Styela clava: one gene and its partners. Each later gene encodes a partner of the first gene's protein in a complex. Links are inferred from orthologs where the notes say so. Each region holds a gene or a part of one and is shown in the gene's direction. Other genes may lie near its edges.

Region 1 (6,877 bases):
AGTACAGACATAACGTTAAATGCAATTCAATCTCCCCCTGCGACATTATTTTCCAATTACACGATAATAACTCCTATTTATGAATGATCTTCTACGTATGTAACTGTTATTAAATTAGGATATACCGGTATATAATAGAAACATGGATAAATATCTAAAAATCGGTTCTACCTGGTCAAAAAATATCTCAGTTGTCGTCTAGCACCATGGTAACAGGAATCATCCAAGCGATGGTCTTCCGCAGGGCGATAGAGAGTCGCGTTAACTCTTCACTTCTCACCACAGACGGTGCTCTCACTTTTATTTGCTTGCTATCGCACGGTCAATCCTTAAAACTGTCTTTTTTTCTAGGGATTTTAAGACCAGTTCGCGGGTTTTCACGTGTGTAATATTTAGACTAACAATAGAATGGCCACGGATGATTTAAACACGAAAAGGTTGGATGCCCCGCGTCAAGATCTTAGCGATGCTTACAGTCTACCTGCTAATTTTCTTGAAATAGAAGTGCTGAATCCGGAGACACATATAGGTGGCGGTTGGCCAAAGAGCCAATACACTGATTATGAAGTAAAAATGAAGACGAATTTACCGGTTTTCAAGGTTAAAGACTCGACAGTTCGTCGAAGATACAGTGATTTTGAGTGGTTACGTTCAGAATTAGAAAGAGATAGCAAAATTGTGGTGCCACCTCTTCCTGGAAAAGCCTTGAAACGACTTTTACCATTTAGAAGCGACGAAGGTTTGTTCGAAGAAGATTTTATTGAAGATCGAAGGAAGAAGTTGGAATCATTCATTAACAAAGTAGCAGGACATCCTTTGGCGCAAAATGAAATTTGCCTCCATATGTTTCTACAGAATGAAACCATTGATAAAAATTATGTGCCAGGGAAGGTACGAAATGCTTGAATGAAGATGTACTCGTACAGTGATTCGGACAATCTTATTAGGCAAACTTCATAGCCTACTTGGCAGGTCGATTATCATCAAACTTGCTTTGTGATCGTGTGTATGATTCCCATTGCCCCTGTGATTGCGAAAATAGTCAAATCTCGATATTTTTTGTGTATAATCTCTGAATCTGATTAAACGAACAATTAATTATCTGTTTGAATATACTATTACTTTACTGCAGTGATATTCCGGATCTCTATAAATACTTCATATTCCATGAATATTCGTGAATTCACCATAGCTAAAATAAATTTAAGAACAATTTGGTATAAAACTTCAAAAGCCTCCTTCAAACAATATTAAAAGATTCGGATACATGGAATATATTACCGGTGATGATCGTTTTTCATCATTAATAAATAACAGAATTTCAGGTTTCGGTATTTAATATAAATCTGCTCATCAATCAAAGGTATTGAGTATTTTAGCTTTATGTTTAACGAAGAAAATCACAACATGGAAAAAATTGTAATTATGTCATTCATGTGCAATATGAGATAAAATAACACAGTGTATAATGATTTTGGTCCCGATGATTTATTTTAAATTACTAAAATGATTCTTTAATGTTGTAAATGTATTTAAAGGAGTTGTCAATAATCTGTATTCGATTTTTGATTGAAAACAAACAGCTGTTACCATGTATCTCCTGATTTGTTTTGTCTGGAATTTGGTTTGGCGTAAAATATAGGATTTGGCCATTGTTGACCTAGACACTGTCCTATTTCATTATTCGAAAAAAATGTCTATATTAATAGCCCCTGTTCTAAGAATATTTTCAGTTCATTTAACCACATTTTGAAATAGAAAAAGTTTCAATATGTAAAAAGAAACTCTCCCCCAGCTGATAACAAGATACCAGTTGTTTTTTCATAGTTCATACACATGCATATTCATTGGTGTTCTCAAATATTAATATGTGCTAATACTTCATAAAGGGAGACTCGTGCTTCCATTCAACTTATTACATTTTCAATTTCTGCTATTGTTTATTGTTATTATTTAAATATTGATATGTTGAAATGTGGTAAATTTTGATAAAGAATTGTGATAATAAGTTTTGGTCTATGGTTAAAAATTATACAAGTTTTGAACAGAGAAATTAGTTTTACAAATTGACTCAATTTATTTGGACTCAGTATTTGTTATAAAAATTACATATCTGTTATCTATTCAAACGGCATCACAGAATTTTGGGATTTGGGTTCTGTCCATAGAATTGCAATTATTGTCATATATTTTGTCTTGTCTGCATTTGATAAACATAATAATTTGTATAATATTTCAATTTTATGCGGTTTCTTCGTAAGAGGCTTGAATGGACCATAATTTGAAATGAGCATTTTATGCACCGTGTTTTAGGACTTCAATTGTGTCGAGCTTTTGAACAAGTGAGCCAAAACTGACTTTGCGTTTCACATGAATTTAAAAAAAGAAATTCACCGAGCAAGATTTTGTGTTGAGTTGTCGTATGCCAAACTATTTATATTTGAACCCACAGATTTCAGTAATCCCAGATTAATTTTTGACTTGACATACAAAGGAGCTTTCATGTGCTTCATTCAGGACCTCCAGAGCAATAAGAGCAGAATTTTATTCCAAATAATAAATGCTTCTACTCGTTTTCCCAAACTTCAACATAAGCAAAGTAGTTTTCCTGAATCTCAGTAAATATTTAAATGACTAAAAGCATGCTCCGAATATGTTCAAATTTCGCTTCGCTTGTATCGTATGTTTCTTAGAAGGCTAATCATAGTGATTTTTTGGTTTCTCTATTCCTACCTGATTGCATTTTTTTTCTTTATGGTTATGACCCATGTTTTAAATTGCCAAAATGGCTCCAATTTTTCATTGATAACAATTTTTTTTTAATTCTTTATACTCATATTTTCCAAATTTTTTAAATGTATTCAGAATTTGAAAAATAGAATATTTGCATCAAATTTTGTAGCTTAGTGTAATACAGTCCCACAGCTGCATATGAAATTAGAATTCTGTCATGATAGATTGACCCATCTTAACCAAATAGGCTTTCTCAATGGACAGAATAAACGCATCTTGTTCATGTTATCATCCCAACCTATTTTAAGGTACATATGCAAGTGTGGTGCTATATTACGCTGAAACAAAATTTACTTAATAAAACATAAATTTGACAGCTTCACTAGACGATATAATATAAATTCCATTCATAAAATTGACTTAGTTTGAAAGTCTGAAATAGCCCCATTATTCTCATATCATCATACTGTTCCTATTAAAATAAAATATTTCATTTATCATTTGGTTATACCCATATTGACTCAAGATATCTCTGGATTCCCATTTTTATGATCAGCATCCTTTGTATTGATGTTGCAATTTGGTATCCCGGCTTCTCTCACCAGTCATTTAACAAATCTATAGTGTATTATTATATATAATATATATATATATCTTTGTAATTCTATTTCATGCCGTTAACTAATGACTGATTAAATTGTTATTATTAAGATTATTATCTATGATACTTTTATATAAGGCGTTGATAAAAATATGAGTATACGCCATGCATTGGTTCGACTGGACAACAGACTGCAAAGTAGAATGTCTGCAAAAATGAAAGAACGATGGAACCACCCTGCTGGATTAAAAACAATACATTTCTGGGCTCCAGGATTTAAATGGGCACTCGTTATCGCTGGACTATCTGACTATTTTAGGCCCCCAGATAAACTAAGTCTTAACCAATCAGTTTCATTAATGGCTACAGGATTCATATGGTCGAGATATTCATTGGTTATTATTCCTAAGAACTGGCTTCTTTTTTCTGTAAATGTCGGGCTCGGAATTACTGGTACATCACAAGTTTACAGAGTTGTAAAATACAGACAAAGCTTAAAAGAACAAGATGAATCAGTAAAGGAAGAGTAATTTAGTCGGAGCAAAACGAATATAAAACCTTATACTCACCTATATATTTTTGCATTATGTGTTAATAATTATCAATACCACCAGTTTTGTTATACAGCTATGATAACTTTAGTTCTGTGCATTTCTACAAATTGAAATCTGAAATTCGCAGTGTATAATCATTTGGAAAAAGTTCCATATTGAATAGAATATTCATATTAATTTAAACTAATTAAATTAGAAAACATGTAATACTATTCAATTCACTTTCTTCAACTGTGAAAAAAACATCAAATTCGTATTTGTCCGAACATTTGTGCATTATGATTTATGAAGGTCATGCTTCAGGACTATGCAGTAACGTTAAAGCATATTCCAATAGGAATATTTGAGAACGTATTCTGTTTTTGGCATCATTTAATCAAATCTTTGAATCATTTTTTTCTTAGGAGGATTGTATAATATAATACTGAGGCGGATTAAAAAGCAGCAGTCAAGTCTGCTGTTTATCATGACTGCAACTGCAATCCGGTTGTTTGTTTTGTGTGTTTAAAAGTTATCTGCTATGTACACATGCTAATAGGAATTTTGAAAGTTTGCTTTTTTATTGAATATTTACTGGTGTTTTATTCGGGCCCTTTATAATAGTAATTTAAAAGTATATATTTTACAACATAGGAATTTGAAATTAACATTATCTCTATCCATGTTTATTTATATATTCCTAGCAAAACTTCTAAAGAGACACTGTAAAAAAAAATGACACTTGGTATTAGAAAACTTTATTTTGAAAAAATTATTTTAAATCTTAGTTCAACCTGATTTCTTGTCAGGTTTGTTGTATTTAAGCTGCTATTTTATCAACAAATGTTATATACCGGTACTATTTACAATGTTTTATTAAACTCGTTTAATACAAAATTTTGTAGCAAAATTATTTAGGTCTTTTGCATTCTTATCATATTATTCATTGCTGGGTTAAAACAACTACCTTGTTATTTTTAGTCGACAACGACAATATAAAAACTTTATATAGTTAGAGAATTTAACCTTAAAATTGGGATGTAAATCATTTTTTTTCGCTATCATCATAAGTGGCATTCTAAGCAACGCTCTGGATATTCCTGTACTGTTTTTTATAATAAAATAATTCAATTTAGTAAGCTCACAAACAAGTACAAGAATACCTTGAAATAAAAATGATCGTGAGTCCTCATTTCATCTGAGATACAGTTCTTTTGTACTCAATGAGTTGGAATTTCCTCAGTCATTGAAGACAATCATTAAAATGTCTCCCTCTGTTTATCACCTTTGAAATGTTGATACAGAGCAAAATCTGTTCCAGTGTTTTTGATCTGGTGGTCACTGTTTTACTCATTGTGGGTTATAGTCGGAGAAGTTCCAAGCTTATATTGCCCTAAATCTGTGAACTACTAAAACTCCTTTTTCTTCGCTACTGGTTATTCATGCTTCTGCAATAATACTAACTAGCTAAACCTGATTCTGACTGGTGTGCTCACGAAAAACTTGTGATATTTTAATTGAGAGGCAAAATATGCATCTTTCACTGAATTAATTACTGTTTTGGGGCAAGAATTAGTAGTAATCTCATCAATATCAACTATCAATATACTGTAACTCTTTTTTTTTTCTGAAATCTGTATTTGATTCAGATGACGAGTTCATTCAAGTCTCAAATATTCTGTATTGTAAATCTTCTAATAACAGGAATTTCGCAATGAATATTTTGTATGAAAATTGTTTGAAAAACTGTCCTTTTTTGTCTTGAAATTAGCCACCAGTCTGAATTAAGTGCGCTCCGTAGATAGTACGATATCAAAAATCATTTTTTAATATTATATGATTTGAAAATAAAGTTTCCTGGTATGTACCAACTCTAATATTTGTAATCCAAATATGCTGACAATACTTCTATTTGTGTCTACATTAACTTTTTGTTGTCATTTCTATTGTAACATTTTAAAGATACACAAGTTTTATAATATCGATATATATATATATATATATATATATATATATATATCAGAGGCTGTCGAAATATTGTAGAAGAGTGTCTCATTTTTCTCATGCATATACTGTGTGTATTACTGTATTCTATTACTGTAGCCTATTATTGTTTTTCAATAAACATACATGTAATGTAATATGAGCAAAGACATGTTTAAGATTTGTATTAGACTAAATGCATGAAGAGAAGAAGCTGTTTTTGCTGAAATGATTCTATTTATTCGAAATTTGTTTTCTTCCAGTTACTAGGCTAGCTTTGACGAAATATTTATGTGTGTAATATATTTATCAGTTGGTACTTGGTAGTCTTTCGATAATTCATATTTCATGGATAAAACTATTGGTAAAAATTTAGAAGATAAAAGCAGTGGTCTATTGAAAATATTACGATGTGTTGACTGCGAAAAAAAGTTTACAAGTACTATTGAATTAGCTTGTCATATGTTGGAACATACTGAAAAGCAGAAAGATGAATATTATACAGAATTTGGCATGTATAGCCATAAAAAATTTCTGCAAAAACATTATGAAGTGAGAAATAAAAAATTGAAAAACAAAGGCTTCGAATGCAAAGAATGTGATATAACATTTGAACGTAAAAAGGAATTCCGAGAGCACAATCTTCTTAATCATAAACAAGAGACAATGGAGTTAGGCAAAGATTCCTTGGTTATTTTCAAAGATATTAGTTTGTCATCAAACGGCTTAAAAACAGTACACTATCGTTGCAGTGTATGTGAAAAAACATTCAATTTGAAGACAGATTTAGAACGCCATTTTCTTATACACTCTGGTGCAAAACCGTTTCAATGTCCGCTGTGTGATTTGAAAGTAAATAGAAAAACTAATTTACGAAGGCATATGAGAAACAAGCATGGTAATAAAACAGGTACAAATAATAAAAAGAGGATCACGTTCACCCATGAAAATAACAATAATGAATGTTCACCTAATAGCAAAATATCATTTCATTGTCCTTTTTGTGATGTATATATTGCTCATGAAT
Region 2 (6,836 bases), on another chromosome or scaffold:
CAGTCGAAATCAGCAAATGAATAAACAAGTTTGCCTTCGAGAGATTTTGCTGCAACACTCCGGACTCCTCCACTCTTGTTCATCAAATTATCTCATATTCGATGAAAGCAACATGCGAATTTATTCATTGCATACCGTGTGGAGTCCAGGCACAAAATCCCGAAAGCACAGTTGATACAGTACAACGTAATTCGTGTACATCGCTTTATGGTGTGTATCAGTGTGTCTGTATCACGCAATTGCCGTGAAAGAAAATTCGATGAATTACAAGCATATAAGTTGAGATTCAAGTTTGTCGAATATTTTCTCTTAGAATTTAAAATTTTTCGCTGTAAGAATAGAAGGCAGCATCTGATTGTTCATTTAAAAATGTTGAATCAAATAATAACGCAAGAAGTTCACAGCAAAGAAGATAATCGAACAATACTATCATCCTATACGACAGAAGTTAGGACCGGAATTTGAACAAAGAAGTTTTCTTCGAGAGATTTTGATGCAACTCTCGTAACTACTATAAGTAACCCTTGTTCATCAATGAGAACAGCGTGCAAATAATTCATTGCAAAACCATGCGATGTATGAATCCAGATGCATGGAATAATATGGAATTATGGAGAATGTTGAGATGAATGAATTAGTCAAGTGCTCTTTGATCTGAACTGCCCCATTTGATGCCAAGTCGTATCTCGGTAGATAGATATGAAAAACAACGCGTTGTGTTTTTTGAAATTACTTATCCCTTCTAACCATGCTTCTATTCATTTATTTATTTATGTAGAACAATATTCACTTCGTCGTCCGCACTCCAAAATAGGGAGTGTTTGTTCTATTCGGGAGGAGCATCTTCTTTTTTATTAAACAGTGCTGAAAGTAATTTTTCTACTAATGAAAATCCTCAAGCGAAAATTTTCGTTATGAATAATTGCGAGGTGTACGACTGCAAATATGCTTTTGTGAATGCGAAAGCAAGTTGAAGATTGCTATTTATTTAGTATTAAGAATAGCTTTAGAGTAAATTGTCAAACATATTTCAATCAGTTTTAAACCCGTACTATAGCTTTTCAAACTTTCATGTGTATAGTTGTTTCGCATTGTGCATGTTTCTCCGATAAATTAAATGTATATCTTATTGGACACGAAATGTACATATGGATCGTTCTGTTATTACGTTGTTGTTCTCGTTGATATCTTTTTTCCTATCGTCATGAACAAATCGCTTTTCTCATTAACTATTAAACCAATTGCTTTGAAATTTCAGGGATTAAAGATTGTATTTTTCGCTGGAAGACTATTACTTTTATTAATTTCAAAAATTTATGTAGGCTTTATGAGATTCTTTTTTGTGTGCGATGACGATTCATCCAAAATTGTGCACCTTGTGGCGGTTTCCCTTTCTTGTTAGTCGTGAAGAAGGAAATACATGCAGCCTACTGTGACAGATTGCATACTCGTACTACTTTGTTTTTGCATTCATGTCTATATTTTTGATCCTCGCTCACTTGTTTATTAGTAATTTGCCTTTTTTAATAAATGATTCTTGTTTTTCCTCACGCTACACCATTGCAGTGATTTATTATACTGATACAAATGACATTTTATTTTTGAAGGGCGGGAAAAAGTGAAGGTTTTTGATGGAATGAATAAGGCTCATAACGAAATACAACATATACTTATAACTTCAATAGAGTGAAACGCAAGAGCTACGGAATTGTCTTCACATATACGTTTAAGGTATAGCAATAAACAAGTCTCAACTATTTTTGATATATATATCTTTAAAACAAAATATACGACTTCCTGTGACACCCCACAGTTCGTCATATGTTGGCTAAAACTAAGTCGACTACGGTGAAAATTAGGTTCTAATAATAGCGCACCCACACAGTTCGTCATATGTAGGTGAAAACTATGTGGACTATCGAGGATTTACCGACGGAACATTGAGAGCACGCCATTATATCTATAATTTACAATGTGCATCATAATAACACGAAAAATGAAATTGTTTTGGTGAGTTATGCTTCCGGTTAAATGGGAATATTGTAGGGACTTGGTAATGATTTTCTATACTTCCTCTCAAAATCCTATGTTTACATTTAGGAGACGAAAGATCATTCGTATGACTGATCACGTCAACCAGGAAGGGAAATACTCACCAATTACACGTTCCATATACACGGGCTTAGAATGCAAGCTTGGGAATTGTCATGGATAATTATTGCGCGGAGAACAACCGAAAAAGCAGACTGATGAATATGAGACTACGGCGCCGCACAAGTTAGCCGTAAACAACTATCGCCTGGGAGGAGTCCAGCAATCTTCTCGCATAGAAGACCACTTTCGGAACAAGCAGGATAGTAAACGATGCGACGGCAAACATCTCCTTGCGCGCCGTCGAGTCTGGATATGGCGGGGAAGTATAACGATGTTGACGCACAGTCATCCAGTGCGGAAACCACGGAACCTACGCGGTGCAACAGAATGACGATTTCACTTTTCGCCGAAGTACGGCCCCGATTGTATAGCCGGGACTTGAAGAGTCTATTTCCGGCAAAAATAGTTCTAGTAATCGTAACTGATCACGGATTGGAACTCGTCTCCGATATACATGATACGAAGGGGTGCAGCGACGAAAAGTCCCTCGAGCCTTTTTAGTTTATTTTCCGATTGTTTAGCTAGATCTGAACAAAATTTCTTACGAAACCTGTATGTCCGCTGTATTGAAAATTTCGGTAGAATGTGAAATATAATAAGAATAGAAAGATTTGACCGTCAATTCAGCAATTAGGAAGCTGTTGGTCTGTGATGCACGTCTGTTGTCTTCAGCTAAATCTCTGATTTTGTTCTTATCGTATCGCAATCTTTCATGCGAGTGTTATCAACACACCAGCCTTTCATCTAAACTCATTTCAAAATCGTCCATGACTTGGCATATTAACGTGTACAAACATGAATTGGTTCAGACAGTTTCTGATAAATATCTACTTATGCCTGTCTTTTTGTGCTTGGTAATATTTGACATTGTGTTATCCATAGTAGGCATCATAAATGTATCATCTTTCAATGTTGTAAAAGCATTCCAACTGATATATCCTAACGACATGGTGAACGTAGCCTAATAAGACAACACATACACGAGCGTTTCAAGCATAATAGGTACAGTAATAAACCACATTGTGAAGTATATAGTCCAAAGTTTAGTTACAAACACAAAACAACCTACCTTCCTCGTACCTTTTCTGCAAAACTCCTAAATTTTGGCGCATAAAACGACAGTCAATCCAGGCTTTGGGCGTGGGCCCTTCGGGCAACACCGAAATCACGGCTTTACATGTTGAATTAAACGATATTTTGCCCAAAATGAATTAACATGTCACACAAAATAGATAGAAAAATAACTATTGAATATAAAAATATTGTTTCTATTCCACTTACCTCAAAAAACGAATCCCTAGGCATGTTGAAAGCCGAGTCCTACACAGACAGAACAGCTAGCTTTTGACTTCCGCGACTCGAGTAAAATTTCCCATAAGCTGTCTAGCGCGAACTAGTGGCTCGCGAATATACCGCGATATTTATGGCTCTTTGACATCTTAAATCAAATTAAAAATGTATCATTTCGAGTTTAAATTTTAACAAAATTTGTGGAAAAATATTAATTCATATATTTGTTTTTTTTCGTTTATTTTTAAATCTCACAAAACGAACGAATATGGATCCAAAAGTCCTCTATTTTCAGTGGCCAATGGAGCGTGAGTGTTGCAATTTATGCAAATAAGTTTGCGGGGGTTTTATATTTTCCGCCAGCTCCCGCGGTCCCGTTTTCTGGTCGTACAAAAGAGTCTCACATGTGTTTTGCCCGGATTTAAGTTGCAATTGTATCATGTTTGGAAATTTTTCATATGGCATCACAGATTGGCAGCAAAACCTTATGTGTTGTGTGCAACATAAATGTTGTTGAAGATTGTAAACAATTGATTTTCACTCATGATTATGTAGAATTATTTTGGAAATAGTAGCCTAAGTAGATTACCGCAGTAATGAGAATTACGTAATGTTTAGTCTGAATGTAAAATTAAAGGAATGCTTTGGAAATATCCTTACTATTTTATTCAAAAAGGTCTAAACATGCATGCTTTTGTATAAAAAATATTTTATAATTGTGATACACACCTAACATAGGTACGGTACTTCTAGTGGGCGTAACATTGTTTGTTTTCGATCTCATACTATAACTGTTTTGGTATTTTCTAACTTAAATTCTTGTTTTTACATGTTTAGATTTAAAAAAAAAGCTGTTGCTAGTGGCAGTGTATTGTCTTGGATTTGTGGAGTTAATTTTAATATTCCAGCTACTTAAAATTAACTTCTACAGTAGTTTTGGAACACAACACATTTGTAAGTCTGCTGTTTATCAGATGTGATAGGTTGTATAATTGTCACAATGTCGGCATTCAATAGAGTGATTGTTTTAGTTGACATGGACTGTTTTTATGTTCAAGTTGAACAAAGACGAGATCCAAGTTTAAAAGGGAAGCCTTGTGCTGTTGTGCAATATAGAACGTATCGTGGTGGAGGAATCATTGCTGTTGGTTATGAAGCTCGAGCTGCTGGAGTGACTCGTGGAATGATGGGAGATGATGCCAAAGAACAATGCCCTGAAATTAATCTCTGTCGAGTGCCAGAAGCAAATGGAAAAGCAAATTTAGACAGGTATTTCACTTTTATAATAAAAACATTATGTAATGATAAAATATTGATTTCTGGCTTCTATTTTCAAGTGTTAAAACTGTAAAATGATCGAAATAACTGCTTTTTCTAAATTTTCTTTTTTCAATATAATACATTATTAATTAATATGTACGGTAATATCAAAGTAAAGTTAGTAACCTATTTCAATACTTGACCTAGACTGGCAACCGACTTTTGGTTTTCCCTCCATCAACTTTCCTCTCCCTCTGAGCTAATATGAAAAATCTTATGCTTTTCATCCTTTTAAAGGTACAGAGAAGCCGGTGCAGAAGTGATCAATGTATTGTCACAGTTTGGCGGTCGAGTAGAACGAGCAAGCATTGATGAAGCTTATATCGACCTCACAGATGTCGTTGATAAAATAATTTCTCAAAAAAGAGAGGGAGATTATTTGTCTACTCATAGACTACTCAACACTCATATTGTTGGATGGCCTGTTGAGTATAAAGAAAATGAAGAAAAAGAGGCTGCGAGGTTTGGGGGGTTGGAAGAATGGTTAGGTCTAATTTCATCTGAATCTTCAATCAATGAGAATATACGATTGGTGATAGCCGGGGCCATCACTGAGGAAATCAGGGCCGCTGTTTATCACCAAACTGGTTTTCGTTGTTCAGCTGGTGTTTCCCATAATAAAATGTTATCAAAACTTGCATGTGGTATTCACAAGCCAAATAAACAGACTATTTTACCGAAAGAATCAATTACTTCACTTTTCAGTTCGGTAAAAATTGGAAAAATTCGAAATTTAGGTGGCAAATTAGGAAAATCATTAATGGTAAAATTTGGTATCAATTTTATCGGTGATGTGGGACAAATTCCTATTCAGAAACTAGTTGAGGAGTTCGGCCATAAAAATGCTTATTGGCTTCATGAGGTTTGTCAAGGTATAGACCCTGAACCTGTGAAAGAAAGGCATGTGGCACAATCTATTGGTTGTGGAAGAAATTTCAATGGTCCAGAAATGTTAAACACAAAAGAAAAAGTCAATAAATGGCTTGATGCATTGCTAGTTGAACTGTCTGAAAGGCTCGAAAAGGATAAAGCTGCAAATAATAGAATAGCAAGAACATTGACTGTTCATGTTGGACTAGAAACTGGACAAACCCTGTCCCGATCGGGACCGTTGTCAAGCTATGATCGAAACGATTTACACCGGCAATGTCTTCAACTTATTAGGGCTTTAGATACAACATCTTCAAGCGATAAAAGATGGCTGCCTGCGCTCAACAACTTGAGTGTGAATGCAAAAAAGTTTGACTCTGTCATTGGAGGGTCTTCAATTCTGAAACATACTTCTAAAATGAAGCAACCATCTATTATAGATACTGTGCAAATACCTACTGAGAAACCTTCAACTTCTGAATTACAGTCAGTAGCACAAACTGAACCTGAAGAAGTCCAAAATGAATTGTTCGCCTCTCAAAACCAGTGCCTGGAAAAACCTGAAAATCAAGATGTAAAATTGATTGAAACTGGAAGCCAGAAAATTGATAAGTTTTTTAGTGAGAAATCGAAAGATAATTGTATTTCAAATATGAACAGTTCTTTCAACAAGTTGACGCAGAATTCATCTCAGTCCACACCCACAAAACGTGATGACGTTTTCTTTGTTGATCAGTCGAGCCAGAAACAAAAATCTATTTCACCAAAGAAATCATTTTTTGAATCTGTTAAAAAAACTGTACAAAAGAATGGCACCGTTTGCAAAATTGATAAAATGTTCTTAAAAGAAAAAGAAAATTTGACAGAGAAAGCTGCAGTTTCATATACTCTACCAGATGGGCCAGTTTTTCATCCTTTATTTGGGGAAATAGACAAAGACGTTTTTCAGCATCTTCCTTTGGATATTCAACAAGAAATTTCAAAGTCGTATAAAATCACATCTTCTGTTATTTCATCCTCACCGCTGACTTCGTCCCAATATCAGCAAGGTTCATCAAAACATGGTGACAAAGGTCAAAGACTTATTTCTAATTTTATACCTAGTTCTCAAAATTCTCCTGAAACATCGTATATATCGCCCCAAACTTTACACAAAAAACGTAAAAGCTCTGGTCCTAGTCCACTTTCTAGCAAAAAGCCTA
Region 3 (6,891 bases), on another chromosome or scaffold:
AGATTGATTGATTAGTTTTTTTTATCAAATGTAAGGTACAGGAGAGTAATTAACAATTTTTCTGACAAATTGGAAGAATTTTTTGTAGCTAATACTGTTTAGGCTGGTTGCAAAAAATCACCGGAAGCAATTATATTCTCAGGCCACAACATTAATGTTTAGTTATTATAACTGTTAGAATATAATAATATTACCAACCAAAAAGATAGAAAGCCAGTGAACAATTTGGAGCACCCAAGCACACTCGCTAGTTGGTTTTTTAGCTAGCCGTGACACTAGTCTATTTAGTGACATTAGTGATGTCGAAAAGATTTCCTGATTAATTTTATGGCGAAACAACACCAAATGCGATTTTTTGATTACCCTTCAGCAAAGGCGACGCGGGCCACAGATAATGACGCTGCGGGCCACATGTGGCCAGCGGGCCTGGGTTTGGACCACCCTGATCTAGGCTATTACATGCCATTGTTACGAGAAGAGAGTTCAATAGGTTACTATCAAATTATTGTGTTTTTTCTTGCTATTATTAGTGAGATATAAATTTTGGCTACAAAGAAACTCTGAACTAAGGTAATTTTTTCTTTTTTTTCTACATAAAATACCGTACCTCATTATATAAATTTTTCTAAATATGAATGGAATGTATATAATAATGATTATTGAATGAAAGATTAACATTATAATTGTTTGTATGCTTATGCAAATCGTTACATTTTTTCTTTATTATTTGATAGGCCTACCATGATATCTGGATAAATGGAGAATTTTTTTAAATTCTGATGTACCAGTGCAATGATTTTATTTTGTGTAGTCATGTGACAAATATAAATACTACTGTATTATCAACAATATGAAGAATAGAATGAAAAATAGTTTTTCCCATTCCCAATTTTCTGCGAACAAATTATAAATATTTCAACTGTATGAAATAACTGTTATATCTGTATATAAATCATTCATGCTTGGTCAATTTAGAAAAAAACTCTTGAACCATATTCTTTATCAATGTAATAGGTAAAAGAAGTATGCTAGCATAAAGTGTGTGATAAAGTTATTATTGCTTTCGTCTTTTTTCTATTCTTAGTTTCTAAATCCTATTGAAAAATATTCACTGTTTGCTAAATTAGCTCGATTGTGTAATTACCTGTACTCCTGTAGGTATATTTTTGTATTTATGTTGATGAATCCATGTAATTTTTCCATAAGATATAGGCTACATTGTATAAGGATATCAGTTATATTTGCAAATGATAAACATGCAATTATAAAATTAAGAACTGGATAAATAGAGACTACTATTCGTCATTAGTCATTACACTAATCATTCTCAATAGCTATAATTGAAATGGAAATGAAATGTATTGTATACGATTGTCAACCTAATGAATTGTTCATGGCTTGCTAAATTATTGTTGCTGTTATTATCGTAGTTGTTGTTGGGCTGATTGTCAAGGTACAAAGCTCTTATCTCTGCATCTGTTGAACAGATCAATTTCAAATCTTCTGTATGGAAACGTGAAAGCAGTTGCTAGCCATATAGTTTCAAATTTTTTTGAAGTTCAGTTGGACGCTTTTTATTACTTGACGTTGACGACCACCCCTTTGTTGCTCATTCATCCATCTTTATAGCAAGCTTTGTATACTGGTAGCATTACTCTCTTGTTTCACTTATGAACAGATTTAAATTTATGTTCAGTTTTCGTAATGGTTTCTACTCATGACGATAATAGTGGATTATTTCAAAATGAAGACGAGACACCTATGGTGTTTGTTATTAGACCATGTTCAATAAAAGCAGAAGTCAAGAAACACATTATTCAGGGCGGTGGTTTGTGTTTTCCATACATAGAAAAAGTACCTTTTGGTTATCGAGATAATGCCATATTCCTTCTACCTGATGGAGAAGTCAGTTGGAAGGAAAATACAATATCTGCAAGATATATTCTTGATTCTGCGAACAGCGGAAGCCTTATGCCACAGGAGAGATATCATTGTCGACCTAGTAATTACAATGTCAATGGCAACGATGCTGAAGGACGAATGACTTATACAAAAACAGAAGATATCAATATTTTACTCTATGTTCGAGATTCCAAGCTGAAAGATAAACGTAAATTATCAGGAAATGAATTTTGGAAAAAACTTGAGAAACAAAATATGTTCCAACTGAAAGGACGGTCCTGGCAATCACTGAGAGATAGATATTTAAAACATTTAAAAGGACGTGAATCTTCATATCCACTAGAGGGCAGGGTTTTGGGTCCATTACCCACACCTCCTCAGAATAGAAATACTACAATGCCTGGTACGAGTGCTAAATCAACATCAATTCCTGCTCAACTTGATATTGTTACAACATCGGATCTCGAAGAAAAGAGACCGGGATCATTTTTAGCTGAAATCGAAAGCAGAAGGAATAGTTTATCTCCTGGACTATCACAAAAAGAATATTATGTATTAATAAATGACTTTGTGAAATCTATGCAAAAAGTTACAAAATTGGACTCAAAATCAATTTATAAAGTGTTGTTTAAATGTAACGGCAATGAGGATATTGCCAAATATTACATATATCAGGGAGAGGTACCTGAAGGGTTCCATCTTTTCACAGACTCTGAAGATAAAATTCTTTTGAAATGTTTATTAAATCCAACAACTTGTGACGAAGAGCCTGCAAGAAAACTTGCTAAAATTTATGGTGAACGACCCGTGACAGACCGTGCTGCAGCTCTTCTTGGTGTTTCTAGAAATGATTTCAATTATATGCAAAGTATTCCATTAAAGAATGCCAAAATGGATGAGAATAACTGACCAATTCACTGTTGTTATATTGTTTGTTATGATTCTAAATTGTAGTTTATTGTACTTGGATTTGTAATTTATTGTTTATATATCATTACAGAAAAAGTTATTAAGTTCAATTGAAACACAATCATTTGCACTAAATACTACCTAAGTCGTTTCAAACTTTTAAAAAATTTGATATTGTTAAGAATTTCCTAATCTGACATCCTCACAGAGGCCTTTTATTTACATAGATGTCATTGATCTAAACCAGCGTTTCCCAAACTGTGTTCCGCGAGCGTTCTGTGGAGAAGGAATCAAAAATGTCGCCATTGCGATCTAGGGATCGTGAAGTTGTTGCCCATCTGACCGTTCAATTTCGCGTCATCGTTGGCCTAAAGCGGACTAACTAAGGTAGAGGAGTGACATTTTCGTTAACTGTCGGCGTAGCTTTTTGACTGTTAAGTACAGCAATCCTTTTGGTTTTGTTATAAGCAAACAAGTGGGTCTAAAGAATAAAGGCCAAGGGTCAACTCTTCTTCCTCCGTCTCTGCCTGGCTTTACTATGAAATGCTGAAAAATTACTTATGTTCGCTAAATTCAATTCAGCAGATAAATAAACTGCAGTTCGCGAAATTGCAGCAAGTACTTTTATCTCCATTAGAGGTAACATTGGAGGCAAACACTACGTGATGGAAAGTAAACGACATAGACAGGTAAAAAATTGTGAATTGGTGAATTTATTGATTCATATACACAGCATTCTAATTAGAAAACAATAAAACATTTATAATAAATGTAATATGTAAAATATTCAATCATATTTACGGTTTAACCATAGTAGTATATATTTACGATTTAACATATTTACGGTTTAACCATAAATATATACTAGCGAACCCATTGGGAACCGCTACATTACACCGTTTTTCTTTATCAATTTTAGCTTTCCATTTTTTGGTGTTCTGCGAGGCGAGATAAAAAGTCTAAGTGTTCCGTGGCCGAAAAAGTTTGGGAAATGCTGGTCTAAACCATCAAAAAATACGAATGAATATTGGAAATGATTAGGCATATATTTAAATTTTTAATGCGGGTTAACTTTGTTACCTAACTTCCTGTTAATAACCACATTTATTTTTTTAGTTTTAGATTTACAGTCATTCTATTGCTTAGGCTATTAAAATGAATTCGGCAATTAGTTCTGAAAATGATGTGAATGATGAAGATGGATTTGAAAGAAATAAAAATACTGCAGTTTTGTCTCGAATGGCATTGAATGACAATAAAGCTGGCATGAAAGGTCTTGACAAGGAGAAAATCAACAAGTCAGTGTGCAATATGAGTTTCTTATATTTTAATATCAATTTATCTTTTATGCATGAGTTACAATGTAAATTGGATGTTTTCATATGGCGTATTCATACATTTTTTACTCCAAGCAAGGCTCTACAAAAGTAGCCATGGATATAGAGAGAACTACTGAGTTTATACGATCACACATTTTCTACCATTTCAATTTTTCCCATGAGAATCATGTGAACCAAGTCCTAATAGAATCATTCATCCATGCAACATTAACAAACTTCGAAACGAATGCAGCTGTATACCACTACTGGAAATTATTCTTCAATGGATATCAATGATTTAGAGAACATATTTGTAATAAAATGATTACCGGTATTTTTTAACATCTTATCAACATTCCTGTTTAGGATTATTCATGAAAATTCAGTTGGTTCAAAGTTTTACGAAAATGAGAGAAAAAAGGATGCTCAGGTTGATGCAAGAATTCAGAAGATGTTGGAACAAGTTGAAAAACTCACTCCTGAGCAAATGGAAACATCTTTATGCAGAGTATGCATTCATGCATACAATTGTTATCCGATTCGTAGAACATAAAACATCATTATTCACAAAGTTGAATAATAATTTATTTTGAGTGGCGCTAAGAGAATTTAATTCAAACAATTTTACATGCATTTGAAGAGAGTCTCAGTCTCTCAGATAATAAATTTTTTTGTTTATATTAAATCAGTTCTCTTTGTAACTTAACTAGCCTATTATTCAATTGTATTTTTGCATATATCACAAATTTAAATGCTTATTTAAATAAGCTTGATTATAAGTGTAAAATAACTACGATAATAGTATTCTTAAAGCCATTTACACAATCAATTGTGGGTGTCTCAAAAATGTGGTGCCCCATATTTGTCCTAATTAGTCACACTTATCCCACCACATGTCCCACTCATATGAATATCATTTTCAAATGGTTCAATATAGCATTCGGCCAAGTTCCAAAGCATTAATCTACCCTAACCCGGTACATAGCATGAATTCCACCTCATATTATGCATACTTTACCATTTTTTCCACAATAGGTATTTCTTAGCATGCAATAGTACAGTTGGACAAATGTGACACAACATTTTTGAAACACTTATCAGTTGTTACTGCTTTCTCCACCTGTTTGAGGATCAGGATCATTAAACTGATCACTTTTCCTTGATTCTTGTTGTGAGAAATAGATGCTTGATCATGGTTCATCACATGATTTAGTTATTTTAGGGACTTCGCTCTGTTTCAAGATTCTATATTGAGAATTGAGATAATATCTTATTAATATATTTTAGACAAATGTTATTTTGAAAGAACTTGAATCATCCAGAGATTTATCACGAACAATAGTGCACATTGATATGGATGCATTTTATGCTTCTGTTGAGGAAAGAGACAATCCGGAATTAAAAAATAAGCCAATGGCAGTGGGAGGCTCAGATATGCTTGTAAGTGTATTGATTATTTAAAATATGCTTCATACTGCACCCTCCATTCTGCCTGTGTTCGATGGTTCAAATTCTCTTGGTAATTGATTACAAGAGAGCCTTCCTCCCATTCGAGCTTTTGCATCTGAAATAATAACTCGTTAATTTTCTATGCACATATCTGCTGTTGTTCACCACAAAATAAAGCCTTCGCCCTCCATACAACTTATAAAAATATCAAATTTCTATCTTATGTAAGTTTTTTTAGAATTAATTATAATTAATGATTTATTATCTATATTACTATTGATGATATTGATTTCAGTCAACCTCCAACTACATTGCTAGAAGATATGGCGTAAGAGCTGCAATGCCAGGTTTTATAGCAAAGAAATTGTGTCCTGAGCTGATTCTTGTTCCACTCAATTTTGGCAAATACAGAGAAGTATGAAGAATATTTTGTTTCAATTCATTTGTTGTTAGAAGGACCTTTCTATGAACCTTTTCCCGACCCTCAACCCCAGAAAAATTCTCTCTGTGCTCTACCATTGCAAAATTTTAGAGGATTATTTTTTCAAAAGTGTTTTCGCGAGTTGAGGCTAACAAATATTGAGGTTCATATAAAACAAGTCTAAAAACTGACAAATATCTAGCAAAACCTTGAAAATGTGAGTCGTGTGTGGCCCTCCACCCACTCTTATAAAGAAAACTTCCATAATTTATATGACCTTCTGGCAAGCACTTACGGAATGAATGAAGTAGGCTACTGTATACACACATGCCCCAAATCCACCTGAGTGAAAAGTCTGAGAGTCTGCTAAAATTTCAATTGTTACGTAAAAGGCACAAATCTATGCCCAGGAAAACACCTATCAGAACTTTTCAGTGTATGCTTGAACTTTTTTCTATTGCAACTGAAATATTATATCAGGCCCACAGGTTTCAGATAACTTAGATAGGATCTCTGGTCAGAAAATTTCAAGTCAATTTATATCAGTTATTTGTATTTCCTTGCAACTTTGCATAGACATTTTAGCTGTGAGAATTTTGTGTTCATTTTTCAATTTTTTCAATTTCTTTTTGTTCATTTTGTTTGTTCAAGGTAAGTGCTCAAGTTCGTGAAATTCTTGCGGAATATGATTCAAACTTTTCACCAATGGGTTTGGATGAAGCGTATCTTGATATAACATCATATTTGAAAACAAAGAAATCAACTTCTATGGCAAGTACAATATGAATTCAATATTGTTGGATGTTTATTTTTAGGATATTTTATTACGCTTACAATTTTGATGAGAAATATATGTTTTTATTTATTATTTATGTATCACATTGTTATTGA
Region 4 (7,857 bases), on another chromosome or scaffold:
GTAGAGCTTTAGAGATCGAATGACAAGAAAACTTAACGTCCCGACTAAGCTCATGCTATATTTAGCCAGGCACAATATAAAGCAGTGGTTCTTAAAATTGATTGACCCAAAATTAGAAGCGAAAGGATATTCGCGGGCCGAATAAAGAGCACACACCCTCAAACTGCGATAATGACATAACAATTGGCGGTATTTGGTATGTAAAATCATTTCACGAGGCCCACGGAACGCGGTTTGGGAACCACTGCTATAAGATATCATTTTCATCCCAAGGGAGAGGAAAGTCGATAAGACGTCTTACTCATACGCCAACCTTTATTCAGAAATCAAAAGCTGTAGTCAACAATCTTCAGGACTAGCAGTAGTCATAACAGTTGTTATTGCATTAAGACAGACCACATCATGCATAATTTATGGTGTGGCATCTAACTAATGGCCTATTTGTGATGCCACAACATTGAACTAATGCAATTGGATCATCCTAATGGAATGGGACATAATGGACTTTTGTGAAGAACAGGATAAAAATCGAGGGTTTGAATCCCATAAAGGTGGGCCATTTCATCTTAGTGCAATAAACAGGTGAACGAAAAATTTTGAAACATTATTAAACATGAATTTTTATAAATCCGAAGTCCGAAATTTTTGTTTTTTTCAGCTTTTCTCGAGTCTCTAAAAGACACACATGTAAAGGTAAAATTACTCACCAAGATATAACTGTCGCTTGGTGATCTGTCCTGAGTCCTCACCTGGAAATAATATATACATTTACACTTTATAGCATCAAGCTTAAAATCACAAATTGAAAGTCAAATATAGGTTTCCCTAATTCTGCCTTCTTGGAAATGGGAGACGTTCCTTCCCAATCAAGCATTTTATTGTTTGCACTGTATTACGTTTCAGAATTACGGGTTCCCTACGTAATAGAAATAAAATGTGACTTCATCAACTTTACATTACCAGGAAATTTTTTTTAATATATGAACATTTAATCATGGAAATAATATAATTAGGCATTCAAGGAATTATATGGATAAACCTAATGATATCCAATGAATTCTACAGCTAAGTGTGAAAGCTAGCAAGACTTTTATTTTTGATGATTTCAGAGAGAAAAAAGAATAAAGCAGTAAAAATCTTTTCGATTGTTTCTTTATACAGAAATTTTCTTCAAGGTAATGTGAATGCAGTAAGACTACATAAAACTACATGGAATTAATGTGGTCCAATACACACACTCACTCAGAATTAAAAGAGACTCATGGTCAGTGAAATGCTGTGAACTATTGAAACTATATAGAATTATGGTGATTAATTAAACATTAGTAAATACTGATTTGGTGGAGTATACTTAGAAGAAAAGCTCTTGAAAGCCATTCAGACGTAAAAGAGACAGAGTTAAACATATGTTTCCTTATTGTCAGAATACTGTATGGCACCCTTGGCATTTCAGGGATGACCCATGTGCCCTTTATAAAAAATTCCAAGATAGGCAGAGTTAGTTGGTAGATCCTACATCACCAGCATCCATTGCTATGCAAAGCTTAAAATATTCAATTCTTAAAGTTGAGTCAAATGCTTCCTATGATGTGCTATGACCCTATCATCAGAATAACCATCAGGCTCAACTCATTTGCCTTTTGATTCGTTGCTCAGAGATGAGCATATTCTTCATAAAGTTCAAAACCCCATAGAAAATAGAAGAGTGAATTCCTACATGCTACATCAAGGCTTCCCAAACTGGGGGTCGTGACCCTGCAGATGGGGGGCAACGAATTATAAAGGTCGCAAAGAGTACACCAATCTCACACAAAGTGCTTTATCTCTTGTACTTTTTTAGACTTTCGAATCGAAACACAACTAGAGCAAAACATAAATCTCACAATTTCGAGATAATACATTGGAGAAGCGGCACGCTTGCATGGAAATACCGACTTAACAGGAGTCGCGGAAATTTTTTCAATATGGAAGGGGTCTCGAGCTTAAAACTTTGGGAAGCCCTGTGCTACATCACCAGCCACCGTGCAGAGCTCAAAATGTTTTAAATATTAATAAAACATTTACTAAGCTAGAAGCTCACCATGCTGTTCAGAGTTAGTATTTATACCAATAGAAGATTCTAAAGCAGCGAGTAAAAACCGGCGTTCCTCTTCTTTAAGATGGGACACGAACGTTTCAGCGTTCTCTGGTGATCGAATGTATTGCTTCAAAGTATAGTATAGCTTCGTTCGACTTGAATGTCTAAAAAGTGGATGAATTCCTTAAACTGAAAATTAGGATAAAATTTTTTACCCCAGGAGAAAAGCCGATAAAAAAGGCTTAATCATATGACGAACCACGGCCTCTCTTGGTTGAGGAAGCTGAAACCGACCAGTGGTTGCCTATATCACTCTGCGACAGGAAGAGTCCAGCAAGTCTGAAAAAATGAACTGATTTTGATACTCCCAATTTAGACAAGATGCCACGATTTGTCGTATGATTGAACCCTCAAATTGGCATTCCTTTTCCAAGATAAATAGGAATAGACGCTAACAATAATAGACGCTAACAATGCTCCCCAGCGAAATGACAAAAAAAGTGTATCCATTATGTTTTCTCACCTATAACCTAAGCGAGATACTTTCTGTCTCATGTTTTGAAATAATTTTTCAAAATTCAAAAATATTTTATATCTTGATCCTGTGTGTAGTCATTTTTTGTGCCATACCAGAGTTCAAAATAAATTATCTTATCTTATCTAAGTTTTTAACTATTGAATATATTATCTCACCCTTTTTCTGCATAGTATTGAGCTTTTTTGCTTGATCGTTTTGAAGAGGCATCCCTTCTTTGTGAGGTAATAATTGATGGAAATCGGCTCTTAACATCAGTGGAAAAGCAACATAAGAATGAAGTCCTTTGTGCATAGTTTTCAAAAAGTTTTTGAGAAAAATATGAAGTTTGTGTTCTTCTTTTTTGAATAAAATTTAAATCAGTTCTGGTTGGCAAGTTACATTTCATGTGATAGTTTGAAATACATCCCAGTGTGGAAGTATTATGATGTAACACTCTTGAGGTTTGCAGCATGTTACCCACTCTTTGGCAAATATTCCAGTTCATCTCAAATGCAGACGCTCCAAAACGTTTTTGAAGCTTGCAGGTTTTATATCCTCGTTATTGCAGTTTTAACAGCTTCTAACTGTTTCCACTGCTATAAAACACTTAATTCAGAAGAATGGAAATAAAGAAACAATATTGAAAGGCTGATGAATTATCTATGATGAATTTGAACTGACTTGAGTAATCAACAACTTCAATTATATTTCCTAGTCTAAAATCCATGACTTTCAATAAGGAAACCTTGCTTGAACCTTTAGGAAGCTAGACTATATATTCTCATAACATATTTTCTACTACCTGGCGCGGCGGTGTGGCTCAGCGGGCTAAGCGTTAGGAATACGCTCGCCACCGCACCTCTTATTACTCTGCGTGGGTTCGCAGGTTCGAATCCCATGCAGGGATGATTATGTGCGAGAGGATTGCTGGACTCCTCGCCGTCGTTGAGTGGTTCACGTCACCGCTGGTCGGTTACGGCTTCCTCGACCACCAAGTCCATGCTTCCGAAAACAAACAATATAACTAATCCCATACCCGACTTGGAATGGTGACCGGACGAGAGGCCGTGGTTCGCCATATGGATAAGCCGTCTTATCGGCTTTCCTCTCCCCCGGGATAAATATGTAAATCCTATCCTACCTACAGTACCATACTGCCGTAGTTCATTTTAATTAAAATTAATTATAAGTTACTGATTATAATATTTGATAAAATCCTGGACTCTAATTTGCCTATATTTTGGCTTTTGTGAGTGAAGTGGTCTAGCCCCCCCCCCCCCCCCTCCATCAATTTAACTTCCGATTGGACGATTTGGCATCAGCCTAATGCCATTACCATTAAGAGACTCTAACTATACTCAGATTAGCGTTATCTTTTTAGAAATACGAAAAATAACAAATTTGGTTTTTGCAGATTTCCTGCATTTATATCCCTTATAAATTCGCGGCCTTCCAACTGCCTCCATCCGTTAAAAGCAAGGAATGAAAGGATTGTAAATTCAAAGACTAAAACTCTGATACGGACGGAAACTACCGACGAATACAGGAAGACGAAGGAGAGGAAAACCATTTTTTTTAAGATTCGCAGAAGAATAAACATTTGCTCATTTTTACCCCTGCAATATGGTGCGATTGCTCCCTAGCGCAAGCTTGCGATAACATTTTATAAAACTAATACCGACGAACGTTGGTTAATTAAAACGGTTACAACGTGAGGTATACTTAAGTTTAAGCTTAACTCGATGTAGATCTTACGCTTCATGTAAGAACTGACGAGGATTATGCGGGGTAAAGTAGCCATAAACATTATTTTTTCCGAGCATTCCGTGTTCACTGTCACATTTCTTCGGTGAACAAGCCTTTCGAGAACACAAGTAAAACCGCTGTATTCAGGCGAAAAATGAGGGTAGAAATCACGATATAGATGCAACGGTTAAATTAATTTATCATAACACGGAATACCGTGTGGCAATTCGATATAAGTTTAATTAAAATGAAAAGAACATTTTGTTCACTTTTACCCTGCAATTTACCATATTAGCTCTATATCGCCATCTCCCGAATCTAAAACTTGAATGATTTATTAAAAATGGAAGACGACCAAAACAAAATTGAATATACATTTTTATATTAAAATAATAAGTTGATTAATATTTTAAATTAAATCAAGCTTTCATTACTACAAAACGTTTCAAACCTATCTTGTGACAATTTTATTACGCATGACCAACGCGTCAATCATTAATTTTCGCGCTGTTTCCTAATTCTACATTTTAATAATACCGGTATTGCACTTTGCAGTTCAACAAAATTTTGCCCTGTAATTTTTGTTTATATGTTATTTCTTGAAGTATGGATGAGTTGGATGCATTTCTGGCGACTGTGGACGAATTCGTAGATGACGAAAATCGAATCGTAAGTTTGGGGTTTTTGTTTTTCCAATTTACTTTTCATGTTTCCTGTCTCTGCAGCTCTGGGACACAGAGATCAGGAGATGAAATTTTACATATTTGAGGATAACAGGGCTTGATTATATTGCAAGCCAGGTCTCTCATCTCCTTATTCAGTCAAGTCCGAGTAGGTGAAAAGTTATCATATGCATTTAGTAGTTCAGTAGACAGGCCTTGCTGTCTTGGTAATGACAGAAAATAGAAATATTGTGGCTAAATCGAAAATCTTGTGCATAGAAAGGTTGAACGAAGTATCATATATCCAAGGTCAGAAGGTTTTTTGGGTCTCGTGTAGTTTCGTACCTAACGTACTTCTAGTGGGCGTAGCATAACAATTTTTTGATATGTCAATCCTAGCCCTCGTCTGATTAAGCCATCCAAAGATTAAATCACTACGACATCACAATGACGTCATAGAGCTTGCCAAATATACGCACGATGGACCGAAATGGCATTGGCGCCGACGATAAAGAACTGACTGACGTTATCGGTCTCTCTCCTATAGGAATCGTTTCAACGAGAAAATGAGAGAAATAACTGTTCGATTTCGGGTGCTCATTTGTACGTCTTGGATGGCAGTTCGTATAGTTTGAAGGGCTGTATTACGTCACTGTGACGTAATTTTTGGATGGTGTAGTCAGGTGGGGGATAGTATTGATACGTGAAAAAAATCGTCATGCTAAGCCCACTAGAAGTATGTTAGGTAAGAAACTACATTAGACCCGGTTTTTTAACCTTATTATTTCATTTACTCCTTTGCAAATTTTAAAAATGGGAATTTTCCTCAAATTTCAATATTTTCAATTCCATACCTATTCAACAACTATTCTTTTTCCCTTCCAGGTCACTTATAAATGGCTGAGCGAACAACTCGCTATTCCAACCAACAAAGCAAAAAGTCTTCTTCAGAATTACGCTGACTCATGCAAGAAACAAAACAATGGAATTCACATTGTTTATGCAATAATAGGACATGACTCAGCTGGAATAAGTGTAAAGGTCGTTCGAGATGTCGATCTTGACTCAGCGAAATCAAAAATGGATAAAGTTTATAGTGTTTCGTTATATAGCGTGCAAAAAATGAAACTTCAACACAGTGCTGTGCTGTATTCCACTGATTATGACACTCATCGTAAAAATCTGAGCGGAATTTCGAAATTTGGGGGTATAACGTACAACGGTGCAAAGTGCTTATCAAAGAATGAAGTTAAACAACAAAAACAAACACCAGGTGGTGCTAAAGAGATTTCTGCGGATCTTCAAAAACAATTTGCGAAACCAGCATTTGAAAAAGGGAAACCTGTGCAGCAGAAAGTCAATTTTTTTACAAAAACGAAAACATCACCCCCACAAAAGAAAGTTAAAGAGGAAATAGCATCGAAAAGCGACGCTGAACCCCAAAAATTGAACTCTAATAAAAAACCTGATCCCCCATTGGAAAAGGGGCAGAAAAAGGGCGTGGCTGCGTTTTTAACAAAAAATAAAACCGATCCGTTTGCAAAAAGTAAGACTGTAAAACCGGTGATAAAAGAAGAACAGAAAACAGTGTCCGATAAGAGTGAAAAACAGCCTTCAAAAAGGGACAGTACAACTGAAAAGTCACCTCAAAAAGATAAGACAAAAGAATCATTGAAAACAGAGAAAAAAAATAAAAAATCGTCATCGAAACGTTCAGTTGAAGAAGATGACCTAAGAATTGATGATTTTTCGGATGACGAGGATGATTTTATTGAAACTGATAAAAAATCTGTAAAAAGTTTGAAAAAAGTCGCTGATAAATCAACAAAACCTAAACCTGTTGAAAAACCGAAGCCGAATAAAAACAAAAAAAATTCGCGGCATGATTCGAACGAGCTTCCAGCGAAGAAACGACGCAGAATTCAGGAAATGTTATCTTCTAGTAGTGAGGATGAAAACGAAGATGAAAATTACGAGGAAGAGATGGGAATTCCCCCTCCTTCACCCCCACCTGTGATTGAACCCGAACCTGTGAAAGAAAAATTTGTTGAAGAAGTCAAAACTAATAAACGGAGGGAAAAAGTCATGAAAAGTCGAACATTTGTTGATGAAGAAGGGTGTATGGTAACACAAAAGTATTATGAATTTGAAGAATGCGATGATGCAGAACCTGTTGCTAATGGTAACAATGATCAAGCGGAACAAAACCACAAAAACAATACTGCAAATGGTGACACAGAAGCAAAAACGAAAAAATTTCCAGCGATATCTACTGCAGCTCAACCAAAAAAACAACAGAAACAAGCATCAATTATGGGGTTTTTCAAGAAAAAATAACTCTTTATTCAAATTTTGTCATAAATAGTGGGAAATATTTATAGCATTGTACATGCTACATGCACTGCTTTTTCAAGAACTTAAAACTTGAACGGGAGGCTGTGCAACTTGAGATGGGTTAATTAGTGCTGTCCAAAATAGAATCTTTTTTTGCCTCATTTTACCGATTTGCGAATTAGCCGCAAAACAATTTGAATAATTTGCGATTAGATTTCGAATATTCTGTTCGCTTAGACATCCCTAGTTATAATATAAGATAATACAAGATGACTAAACAAACAGAACCCAAGGTCATTTGTAACATGGAGAGAATATAACTTTTGTGCCAAGCGTCCTTGATTACGGAAACTCATTGGGGACAATCATACACAAACAGAAGTTCAAGTGTTCCATAAATTTCGTTGAAGTAACTAATAATTTTATGGGTCCTGTTTTTTTTTGAGAGAGATTAAGAGCGACTTAGTATCAGATAATGGATTTTTCTATGAAGCTGTTTTACATTAAACGATGACATCCTT

The links.
Region 2: the proteins of DNA repair protein REV1-like (region 1) and DNA polymerase eta-like are in contact, whole or in part, in an NMR structure (PDB 2LSK), measured with the Homo sapiens proteins. The link is inferred for Styela clava from reciprocal best matches to the Homo sapiens genes REV1 and POLH. Residues at the interface, in NP_057400.1 of Homo sapiens: Asn1158, Leu1159, Ala1160, Gly1161, Leu1171, Leu1172, Trp1175, Ile1179, Asp1181, Pro1182, Met1183, Glu1185, Asp1186, Gln1189, Val1190; in NP_006493.1 of Homo sapiens: Thr528, Glu529, Pro530, Phe531, Phe532, Lys533, Lys535, Ser536, Leu539.
Region 3: the proteins of DNA repair protein REV1-like (region 1) and DNA polymerase kappa-like are in contact, whole or in part, in an NMR structure (PDB 2LSI), measured with the Homo sapiens proteins. The link is inferred for Styela clava from reciprocal best matches to the Homo sapiens genes REV1 and POLK. Residues at the interface, in NP_057400.1 of Homo sapiens: Asn1158, Leu1159, Ala1160, Gly1161, Ala1162, Asp1167, Leu1171, Leu1172, Glu1174, Trp1175, Thr1178, Ile1179, Met1183, Glu1185, Asp1186, Gln1189, Val1190; in NP_001374042.1 of Homo sapiens: Lys564, Lys565, Ser566, Phe567, Phe568, Asp569, Lys571, Arg572, Arg575.
Region 4: the proteins of DNA repair protein REV1-like (region 1) and DNA polymerase delta subunit 3-like are in contact, whole or in part, in an NMR structure (PDB 2N1G), measured with the Homo sapiens proteins. The link is inferred for Styela clava from reciprocal best matches to the Homo sapiens genes REV1 and POLD3. Residues at the interface, in NP_057400.1 of Homo sapiens: Asn1158, Leu1159, Ala1160, Gly1161, Leu1171, Leu1172, Glu1174, Trp1175, Ile1179, Met1183, Glu1184, Glu1185, Asp1186, Gln1189, Val1190; in NP_006582.1 of Homo sapiens: Gly232, Asn233, Met234, Met235, Ser236, Asn237, Phe238, Phe239, Gly240, Ala242, Ala243, Met244.

What each region holds. Positions count from the first base shown.
Region 1 is NC_135254.1:14,376,589-14,383,465, reverse strand, and holds the start of DNA repair protein REV1-like, read left to right. Parts: upstream 1-3,864; 5' UTR 3,865-6,877. Other genes in the region: sorting nexin-12-like, read left to right, coding at 409-906; mitochondrial pyruvate carrier 2-like, read left to right, coding at 3,538-3,864. UniProt on the Homo sapiens protein: Deoxycytidyl transferase involved in DNA repair. Transfers a dCMP residue from dCTP to the 3'-end of a DNA primer in a template-dependent reaction.
Region 2 is NC_135262.1:4,868,183-4,875,018, reverse strand, and holds the start of DNA polymerase eta-like, read left to right. Parts: upstream 1-3,808; 5' UTR 3,809-4,444; coding exon 4,445-4,713; intron 4,714-5,001; coding exon 5,002-6,836. Other genes in the region: testis-specific chromodomain protein Y 2-like, read right to left, coding at 3,436-3,459. UniProt on the Homo sapiens protein: DNA polymerase specifically involved in the DNA repair by translesion synthesis (TLS). Due to low processivity on both damaged and normal DNA, cooperates with the heterotetrameric (REV3L, REV7, POLD2 and POLD3) POLZ complex for complete bypass of DNA lesions.
Region 3 is NC_135257.1:17,204,177-17,211,067, reverse strand, and holds the start of DNA polymerase kappa-like, read left to right. Parts: upstream 1-3,882; 5' UTR 3,883-3,966; coding exon 3,967-4,109; intron 4,110-4,496; coding exon 4,497-4,638; intron 4,639-5,417; coding exon 5,418-5,570; intron 5,571-5,874; coding exon 5,875-5,994; intron 5,995-6,651; coding exon 6,652-6,775; intron 6,776-6,891. Other genes in the region: telomeric repeat-binding factor 2-interacting protein 1-like, read left to right, coding at 1,705-2,811. UniProt on the Homo sapiens protein: DNA polymerase specifically involved in DNA repair. Plays an important role in translesion synthesis, where the normal high-fidelity DNA polymerases cannot proceed and DNA synthesis stalls.
Region 4 is NC_135257.1:21,470,369-21,478,225, forward strand, and holds the start of DNA polymerase delta subunit 3-like, read left to right. Parts: upstream 1-4,855; 5' UTR 4,856-4,946; coding exon 4,947-5,009; intron 5,010-5,887; coding exon 5,888-7,339; 3' UTR 7,340-7,857. Other genes in the region: transmembrane protein 65-like, read right to left, coding at 708-749, 2,081-2,241, 2,771-3,099. UniProt on the Homo sapiens protein: Accessory component of both the DNA polymerase delta complex and the DNA polymerase zeta complex.